Mus musculus: one gene and its partner. The protein of the gene in region 2 purifies or fractionates together with the protein of the main gene of each other region. This does not show direct contact. Links are inferred from orthologs where the notes say so. Each region holds a gene or a part of one and is shown on either strand. Other genes may lie near its edges. The genes, in order: Nup160 and Spast.

What was found.
Region 1: the proteins of Spast (region 2) and Nup160 purify together in Homo sapiens (affinity purification with mass spectrometry; 3 studies listed by BioGRID and IntAct, with this or other methods). This does not show direct contact. The link is inferred for Mus musculus from reciprocal best matches to the Homo sapiens genes SPAST and NUP160.

What each region holds. Positions count from the first base shown.
Region 1 is NC_000068.7:90,675,619-90,680,110, forward strand, and holds the start of Nup160 (nuclear pore complex protein Nup160), read left to right. Parts: upstream 1-1,596; 5' UTR 1,597-1,852; intron 1,853-1,895; exon of another isoform or gene 1,896-3,395; 5' UTR 3,396-3,790; coding exon 3,791-3,890; intron 3,891-4,153; coding exon 4,154-4,265; intron 4,266-4,492. UniProt on the Homo sapiens protein: Functions as a component of the nuclear pore complex (NPC). Involved in poly(A)+ RNA transport.
Region 2 is NC_000083.6:74,366,216-74,370,032, reverse strand, and holds part of Spast (spastin), read right to left. Parts: intron 2,786-3,817; coding exon 2,598-2,785; intron 1,206-2,597; coding exon 1,072-1,205; intron 842-1,071; coding exon 748-841; intron 1-747. UniProt on the Homo sapiens protein: ATP-dependent microtubule severing protein that specifically recognizes and cuts microtubules that are polyglutamylated.

The DNA of each region.
Region 1 (4,492 bases), on a different chromosome or scaffold from region 2:
TGTCCTGTGATATTTCAGCCATATCTTTACTGTAACTATCTTGTATAATAATTACCATACCTTACCATTATCTCTACTTCCCCTTTGCAACCCCCACTAAACTGAGAGAAACTCAAAAGCAGAAAACTTGAAATTTTTGTAGTGTTTAAAGATATTTTAGTTGGGTGGTGGAGAAACACCTTTAATCCAGCACTCGGGAGGCAGCAGGCAGGTGGATTTCTGAGTTCGAGGCCAGCCTGGTCTACTGAGGGAGTTACAGAACAGCCAGGGCTACACAGAGAAACCCTGTCTCGAAACACAAGAAAGACAAGGTATCTGGCTGCTTAGCCTATTTTGGGGGATCATTATAACCCAGTGCCCAACATGCAATCAAGACTGAAAAAATAAGTGTGGGACAAACCAATATGCTTCCAGGAACTGGAAAGCTACTTACTATGATTAATAGAACAGCATGAAGATAAAAACCAATATTTAAAAATCTAGAGAAATAGAAAAAAATAATAAGCCCTTTGCACTGTGGCTAGATCTCAAGTCATTGCTATTATCACTTTTGAAAGTCACTGGCCAAATGACAGGAAACCACATTCCTGGAACCCCCGAAATAAAGTAATTACATTGAAAGTGCTCACTGAAAAATAACACTAATTTCCACTGAAAGAAATTATTCCACTGAATAATTCAATAATTTCCATCGAATTACCACCCAAAAAAAGTCACTAAGTTCGGGCAATGTAAAGTGTTACTGTTAACTTACTGCAATTCACCTTGAATTTACTGTAACATGAACCAAAGGTCAAAGACAGCTTGAAGCTTGGAAAACATCACATCTCAAGTTCTATTCAGCCATAAACAAGAAGAAAATCATATCGTTTGAATGAAAATGGTTACGTTGGGGATCATCATTATTATTAATAAAGGAAGGCACAAAAATGCAAAATCTAGATTTAAATATATGTATACATGACATAAAAGGGGAGGGGAGGACTATTATTTGGGAAGAGGAAGGGGAACAGTAAGAGGGAAAGGGAGGACAAGATTTGCTAACAGGTGAATGTGAACAAAGTAGGCTAAAGTACATGTATGAAAATGTCATATGATGTCCATCATTTGTAAAATGAATAATAACATTAATAAAAAAGCAAACACACACTCTAATAAAATCTTCTGCCTACGTCTGTGAGACAGGGTTTGATGTAACCTAGGCAGGCCTCACACTTACTATGTTGCTGAGACTAGCCTAGAATGCCTCCACCCTCCAAGCACCCAGGATGACAGGTGTGGGCCACTATTCCCAGCTTCATCATGGACCCCCCATCACCCTCCTTTGCCCTTCTTCCCAACTAGTTCCTCTTCCACTTTCATGTCTTTTCTATCTGTGACCCACTGGGTTTAATTAGAGTTGCTTGAATGAGCATGGGAGGGAGTCTTATTTATAGGAGCACCGGCAACTAACCAGCAAATACACCACTGGAGAAAATTACTCCTCCCTCACAGCAGCCACTGACTTTACCTACGGCTCCTCGGGGAGCGATGGGGCCTCAAAGTCCAACCCCCACCACGGAATGTTGACAGGCCCTGTCTTTTGTGTAGGTAACCACAGTTATGATCTCACGAGAGCAGCCACCATGCTGTGTCCAGGAGGCAGTGTCGTTACAGCACACCTTCCCGTTCATCTTGCATTCTTTCTGCCTTGATAGAGATTTTGAATATGTGGGGGAAATGACACTAACAACAAGTTCCCCAAAACATATCTCATTCACCTAGACCAGGCTGGCCTTAAATTCAGAGATCTACCTGCATTTGCCTCCTGTGTGCTGGGGTTCAAGATGTGTGCCACCAAGCCGCACAACAGGTAATCTTTTAAAAAAATATTTTTTAAATTGTGTGTGTGTGTGTGTGTGTGTGTGTGTGTGTGTGTGAGCTTCCCTCTCAAAAAAAAAGTCTCTGAAGCAGAGATTTACACACAGGAAGGAGCACACAGTGTGCTCACAGAACAGCATTGCTAGGGGAGTGAAGAAAGCAGGATTAGGCAGAGAAAACTGAACTGAAATTGACCAGGATGGACCTAGATGGAAGCAAGGGACCAGGACCTTAGGCTTCATCTTGATCCACTGAGATGCATCCACTGAGTGCAGACATAACTCCCTTTTTGCCAAGTACAGAAGGACAGGGGTTAGCAGGGCTCTAGGGGAGACTTTATCTTAGTGAGATTTAGAGGAGTAATTTAGTAAAAATGGAAAAATTAAAGATGCTAAAATGAGGAATAGACCGAAGGTCAAGGTAGGGAGGGTGTCTCTCTATAAGTTCAGACACAGTTCAATGTACAGAAACAGAAGCATAAGGCTATAATTGCTGGTAGGAAAATATGGTTGCAGGGCAAGTTGTCTTCTTTTGTGAGGAATGGGGACGTCAAGACAGTTTCTGTTGCCCTGGTTGTCCTGGAACTCACTCTGTAATGCAGGCTGGCCTTTAACTCACAGAAACCCACCTACCTCTGCCTCCTGAGTGCTGGGATTAAAAGCTGCTTTTTGTTTGATTTGAGCCAGGGTTTTAGGCAGCCTCAGGCTGGCCTTGATCTTGACATAAATTGGAGGATAATCTTGAACTCCTGATCTACTTGCTTCCAAAAGCTGCTGTCAGTGTGCCACTATGCCCACTCGGCCGACTTCAGAGTAAGCTAAGAATGAGTGGGGGTGAGGGCTGGAGACATGGCTCAGCGGTTAAGAGCACCGACTGCTCTTCCCAAGGTCCTGAGTTCAAATCCCAGCAACCACATGGTGGCTCACAACCATCCGTAATGAAATCTAGCGCCCTCTTCTGGTGCATCTGAAGAGAGGTGTGGGCAGTGACAATCACGAAATAGTCATTAAGGCAATAAATGGTCAAGGGAAATGCAATTGCTGGGGCAGAATTATGGAACTTCGCAATGTTGTGATTCTGATGGAGTTGCCAACGAACATGTTCAGCTGTAAGCCTGAAGTTGTAGTTTAATTTATTTACTCATTCATTTACAAAGTCTCACTATGTAGCCCCAAACTGGCTCTGAATGATCAATCTTCAACCTCCAGAGAATACTGACCGATCCCAGAAAGAAATTCACAAACAATTCCTTGCACGTTTGCAAACTGTACTGTATTTTCGATAACTTCAAGAAGGTTGGGGCATTAATATTTAATTCAACGCATCCGACCCGTGTCGCTCAGAGTGGCAAGTGTCTGTAATCCTAGTACTCCGGAGGCTGGGGCGGGAGGATCAGAGTTCGAGGCCAACCTGAGCTGACATCTCAACACATACATGTGTATGCGGGTGTGTAAAGAAAAAGTTTCGCAAAAATGCCAACACAAAGAATCCCTCCTTCCTTTTACTTTTCCTCCTTGTTTCGCTGAACGATGAAGAGGCTGGATAACAACTTACACGCCAACGCTCTAACGGAGGGGAAGGTTCCCGCAAGCTGGGAGTGTGCCCGTCAGGCCTCTTCCCCGCCCGCGCCCGCTTTTCAAAATGAAAACACGCACAGCCCCGCCCCTGCTCGAGGCCGTCGGGAAAAGGGCGCCGCCGCCGCAGCCGCCGCCCGTCTCCGGCCGCTCCGAAGTGACCGCGAGTCAAGGCATCTTCTTCCCGCCTCAGCCTCATTCTCGCGGTGAAAAGCCGCAGATGAGCCTCCGACCCGCGGTCCTCAGGCAGCCAAAATCGCGCACACACATATCCCCGCCTCGCGCCACACCCCCGGAAGTGACGAGCCGACGTGACCCGCCCTTGTCCCGTCAGGCCTCACGGCGACGGCGGGAAGATGGCGGCGGCGGGATCCCTGGAACGGAGCTTCGTGGAACTGAGCGGAGCTGAACGCGAAAGGCCCAGGCACTTTCGGGAATTCACAGTCTGCGACATTGGTACGGAAAGGGCTTGGGAGAATGGGAGCCACTGCTTTCCCTCGGGCTCCCCAAGTAGGCCTTTGGTCTCCCCTGGTGGATCCAAGTCCACATGCCTGAAGCCTGTGCATCATCACATCTTGTCCTGTGCCTGACTTCTTCCTCCCTTTTCCACTCACTATTGTATGCACTGTCAGTCCCTTGCACTCTGCTCCTCGGCACTCTTCAGTGCCTGTCATCCCCCAGAGAACCGCGCATGCAAGCCCACCACATTCATTTTGTAGGGACTGCAAGTGCCGCGTTTGGAACGGTGAAGTACAGTGAGAGCGCTGGTGGCTTCTATTATGTGGAAAGTGGCAAGTTGTTCTCCATCACCAGGAACAGGTTCATTCATTGGTAAGTGCTGCGTTTTCCCTTCCCCCTACAGAGATGGAGGGTTGTCTAATGTGTAAATATCTGTGCCTGTTCCAAGTTACTACGTCTAGCCGTAATCCTCACACAAGCAGAGAACCGGTGTCTCGTGTTCATGTCAGAATCAGTTCTAGAAGTATTCTCGTACCTGGATAAAAACTAAAAGAGTATAGTTGAGATACAACACTGAAGACCCATTTTAGCCATTGATT
Region 2 (3,817 bases):
GAGGTAAGCCAGATAGATCCCCACACATTATTCGCTGGCTGTTAATATCCTGGCAAATACACGGAAAATAGTTACTTGCTCTTCAGACTTAAAGAATTATTTTATCTGAATTTCCCCTTTGTTCGGTTATTTTAAGTTTAAGGGTTTTTTGGTTTTGTTTTTCAAGACTGGGTTTTCTCTTTATAGCAGCCCTGACTATGTTGGAACTTGCTTTGTAGACAAGGCTGGCCTCGATCTCATACAGATTTGCCTACCTCTGCCTCCTGAGTGCTAGGATTAAAAGTGTGGGCCACCACTCCTGGCAAGTTTAAAGTTCTTAATTTTAAATCTTGGGACTGGGATATGGCTCAGTAGTAGCCATCTGACTTCTAAAGCCTTAGGTTTAACTTCAGCATGGGGAGGTGGGGAGGAGAAGCAATTTCTAATCTCTCAATTTTTTAATAAAAACTATATCATGACTAACTACTTTTCTCATAAAAGTTAAAAATGGATTCAGAATATCTTACAATCATTTTCATCTCCTTTAAGAAGTGACCATAACCAATGTGAATGCCTTTCTGTGAGGGAGGAGTTAGACAGGTCATGCCGAGGCTGGCCCAGAGTGGCCCATGGAGCCCACAACCCCCCTGCTTTAGCCTCCTCAGCTGATGCTTGGTCCATCTCCAGGCTTCAATGTACTTTTCTTACACTCTGACCTTGGAGTTATTTGCGATGAGTTAGTTACTTGCTAACGTAGCCCTCCCTTACCTCAGGCCGCAGAGAAGGAAGGATGACAATCTCCTGCAGCGCTTGCTTTGCCAGCTCCTGCCCGGCTATGTCATCAAACTTAACAGCTGTCCCACTAGGAAACACAGTCAGTGAGTCTCACAACAGAAGCATTGTTCAGGTACTTAAACGTGGCGTATTAGCTTAACAATCATTTTCATGTTAACAGGAATATTGTTTATTAGCAAAATTCGTCAAAACAACCATAAAAATTAAGTATGAAAGCAAACAAAATGTTTATTATGTAACACATATGTAGTTTATAAATAAAAATAAACAGAAGTTGAAGCACTTGGCTGAACTTACTTGTCAACAATTTCATTCATTATAAGGTTAGCAAGATTGCTGTCCACATTCCTAAAATTTTTCAAGTCTTTCTTTTTCCGAACTGCAGTTGTGGGAGTAGAAGGTTTGTTGGTTCTATTTGGTTTTGGAGTACCCTTGAAGGACACAAAATTTAATGTGAAACAACTTAGTGACTTCTTACTCATAAATCACCGTAAATACTAAGAGAATTTAATAAAAAAAAACAAAGGAAAATATGAAGCTGTGGAGAGGCTCAGTTAGTGGGATGCTTGTTGTACAACTGTAAGAACCTGAGTGTAGATCCTGAGCACTACATGAGGTGGGCATGTGGAGCACATCTCCTGCCAGCTCTCCAGGGCAAGCAGGCAGCTCCTGCAGCCCACAGGCTGCTGCTCTAGCACACTGTGAGCCCCAGAGGTGCTATGGGAAGTGGCTGAGGAAGTTATCTGACATCCACCTCTGGTCTCCACACACAGCAGACTCAAAGAAAAAAAGAACCAAGACTCTAAAGATTATTTGGCCCAAAATTATATTCAATATAGAACGAAATTTGGCATGAAGAGGGCTAATATAATAGATTGTCTCCAGAGATTAAGTCACTATTAAAAGACAAAGTCAAGACAGAGAAATGGCTCAGCAGTTAAGAACTTGTACTACAAAGTTCTAAGGCCTGGAGTTTGGGTGGCTGCATTCACATAACACTCCAGTCACCCTGTGCATGCCTAGACCTAGAGCTCCAATTGTGAAGGCAAGGGAACTGGATGATCACTGGGCTTGCTGCTTCCAGCCTAGTCAAGAGAATACAAGCTTGAGGTTGGAGCACAGACTCTCCTCAGAGGAATAGGCAGACACCCAATGCCCTCTTCTGAGCTTCAACTGCACACACAGGTGTACACACAAACACACACGAATAAATAAATCTATTTTTAAAGCCGAGGACTCTAAAAGAAAAGTTATATAACTTTGATTCTTCCTAGAGCCTTGTCTACAGAGACAGTTCTAGGCTGTCTCAGGGGAAAAATATTACAACAAAACTCTAGATATGTTTAATGTTATAAGACTGATATAATCTGACATCTAAAACTAGAATAAAAATGAAATATACAGAAGTGGAGATATAGCTCAGAGGTTAAGAGAACTGGTTGTTCTTCCAGGGGTCTTGAATTCAATTCCCAGCAACCACATGGTGGCTCATAACCATTTATGAGATCTGATGCTGTCTTCAGGCATGTAGGCACACATATAGTGTAGAACACTATACATAGAACACTATACATAATCTTTAAAAAGATGACAAATACAACATTACACTAAAAAGACTTGGGAAGTAACCAATATAAAATACCTAATTATTCTCAAAGGAACTAAATTAAGGAATTTAATAGCAAGTAGTTTTTGCAAATTCAAAAGTTATATGTAACACTGTGGAAACCAATCAATTCTGTATTATAGAGAACTAATACAAAGCAGCAAGCTTAACCAAGTTTTGTACTTGAAAACACGTTACACTCACTAGTGTAGAGTACCTTATGTGTGGTAGCTGCAGGACCAGGTCCCGGTCTTGCTCCAGAAACCATGGACAAACCACTGCAACTAGGCGCCCTGTGGTGACCGGAGAGCCCTGCGGAGCCACTTTTCAGGACAGTTTTTGATCGAGGCAATGAATTACTAGCATGTGTTAAGGGGTCTTTCCTCTTCGGAACTGCTCCACTTTCTATTAAGGAAAAAAAAAATACAGCCATCATGATTAGAAACTTTGATTGTAAGTATAAAAAATAACAATTAATAATACTTATATAAATAAAACCAAACTACCAGAAGTTAACAATTTTTATTTATTATTATTATGTGTGTATGTATGTGTGTGTCAGTGTGCATAAGTCATGGCAATGTAGAAGTCAGAAGACAACATTTGGGCTTTGGGTCTCACCTCCCACCACGGGGGACCCAGGGTGGAAATTAAGCCACCAAGCTTGTACAGGAAGTGCCCCTATCAGCCAAGTCATTTCATTGACCCATATCAAAGGCTTTTCAATTTAGAAATATCTCAGAATAAGATCCTAGGTAGAAAATAAACCAGGATGCCTTGGGAACAGTTTGAAAGAAGAGATTTGGTTATTAGGTTTACCCTTTCCTGTTGTAGATTCTAGTTTTCTTTTTTGTTTGGTTTTTTGAGACAGGGTTTCTCTGTATAGCTGTGGCTGTCCTAGAACTCACTCTGTAGACCAGGCTGGCCTCGAACTCAGAAATCTGCCTGCCTCTGCCTCCCAAGTGCTGGGATTAAAGGCGTGTGCCACCACACCCAGCTACAACTTTATATTCTTATAAAACGAAAATCTTATTAATAATGATGTTTACTATAAGCCAGGCAAGTAGGGCGGTTCAAACTATAATCCCAGTACTCTTGAGGCTGAGCCAGAAAGACTGCCATGACTTCAATAATAACCTGGGCTACATATGAGTCCTAGGCCAATCTGGGCTACAGAGTGTGAAACTATCTTTAAGATAAAGAAAAAGCCAGCCAGGCACAGTGGTAGACATCCTTAATCCCAGCACTCAGGAGGCAGGGGCAGGTGAATTTCTGTAAATTTGAAGCCAGCCTGGTCTACAAAGTGAGTCCCAGGACATACAAAGCTACATAAGAGAGATAACCTGTCTCATAAAACAGACATGGTGGCACATATAACCCCATAATCCTAACACTCTGCAGGCAGAGGCAGAGCTATCACTGCAAATCCCAGGGCAG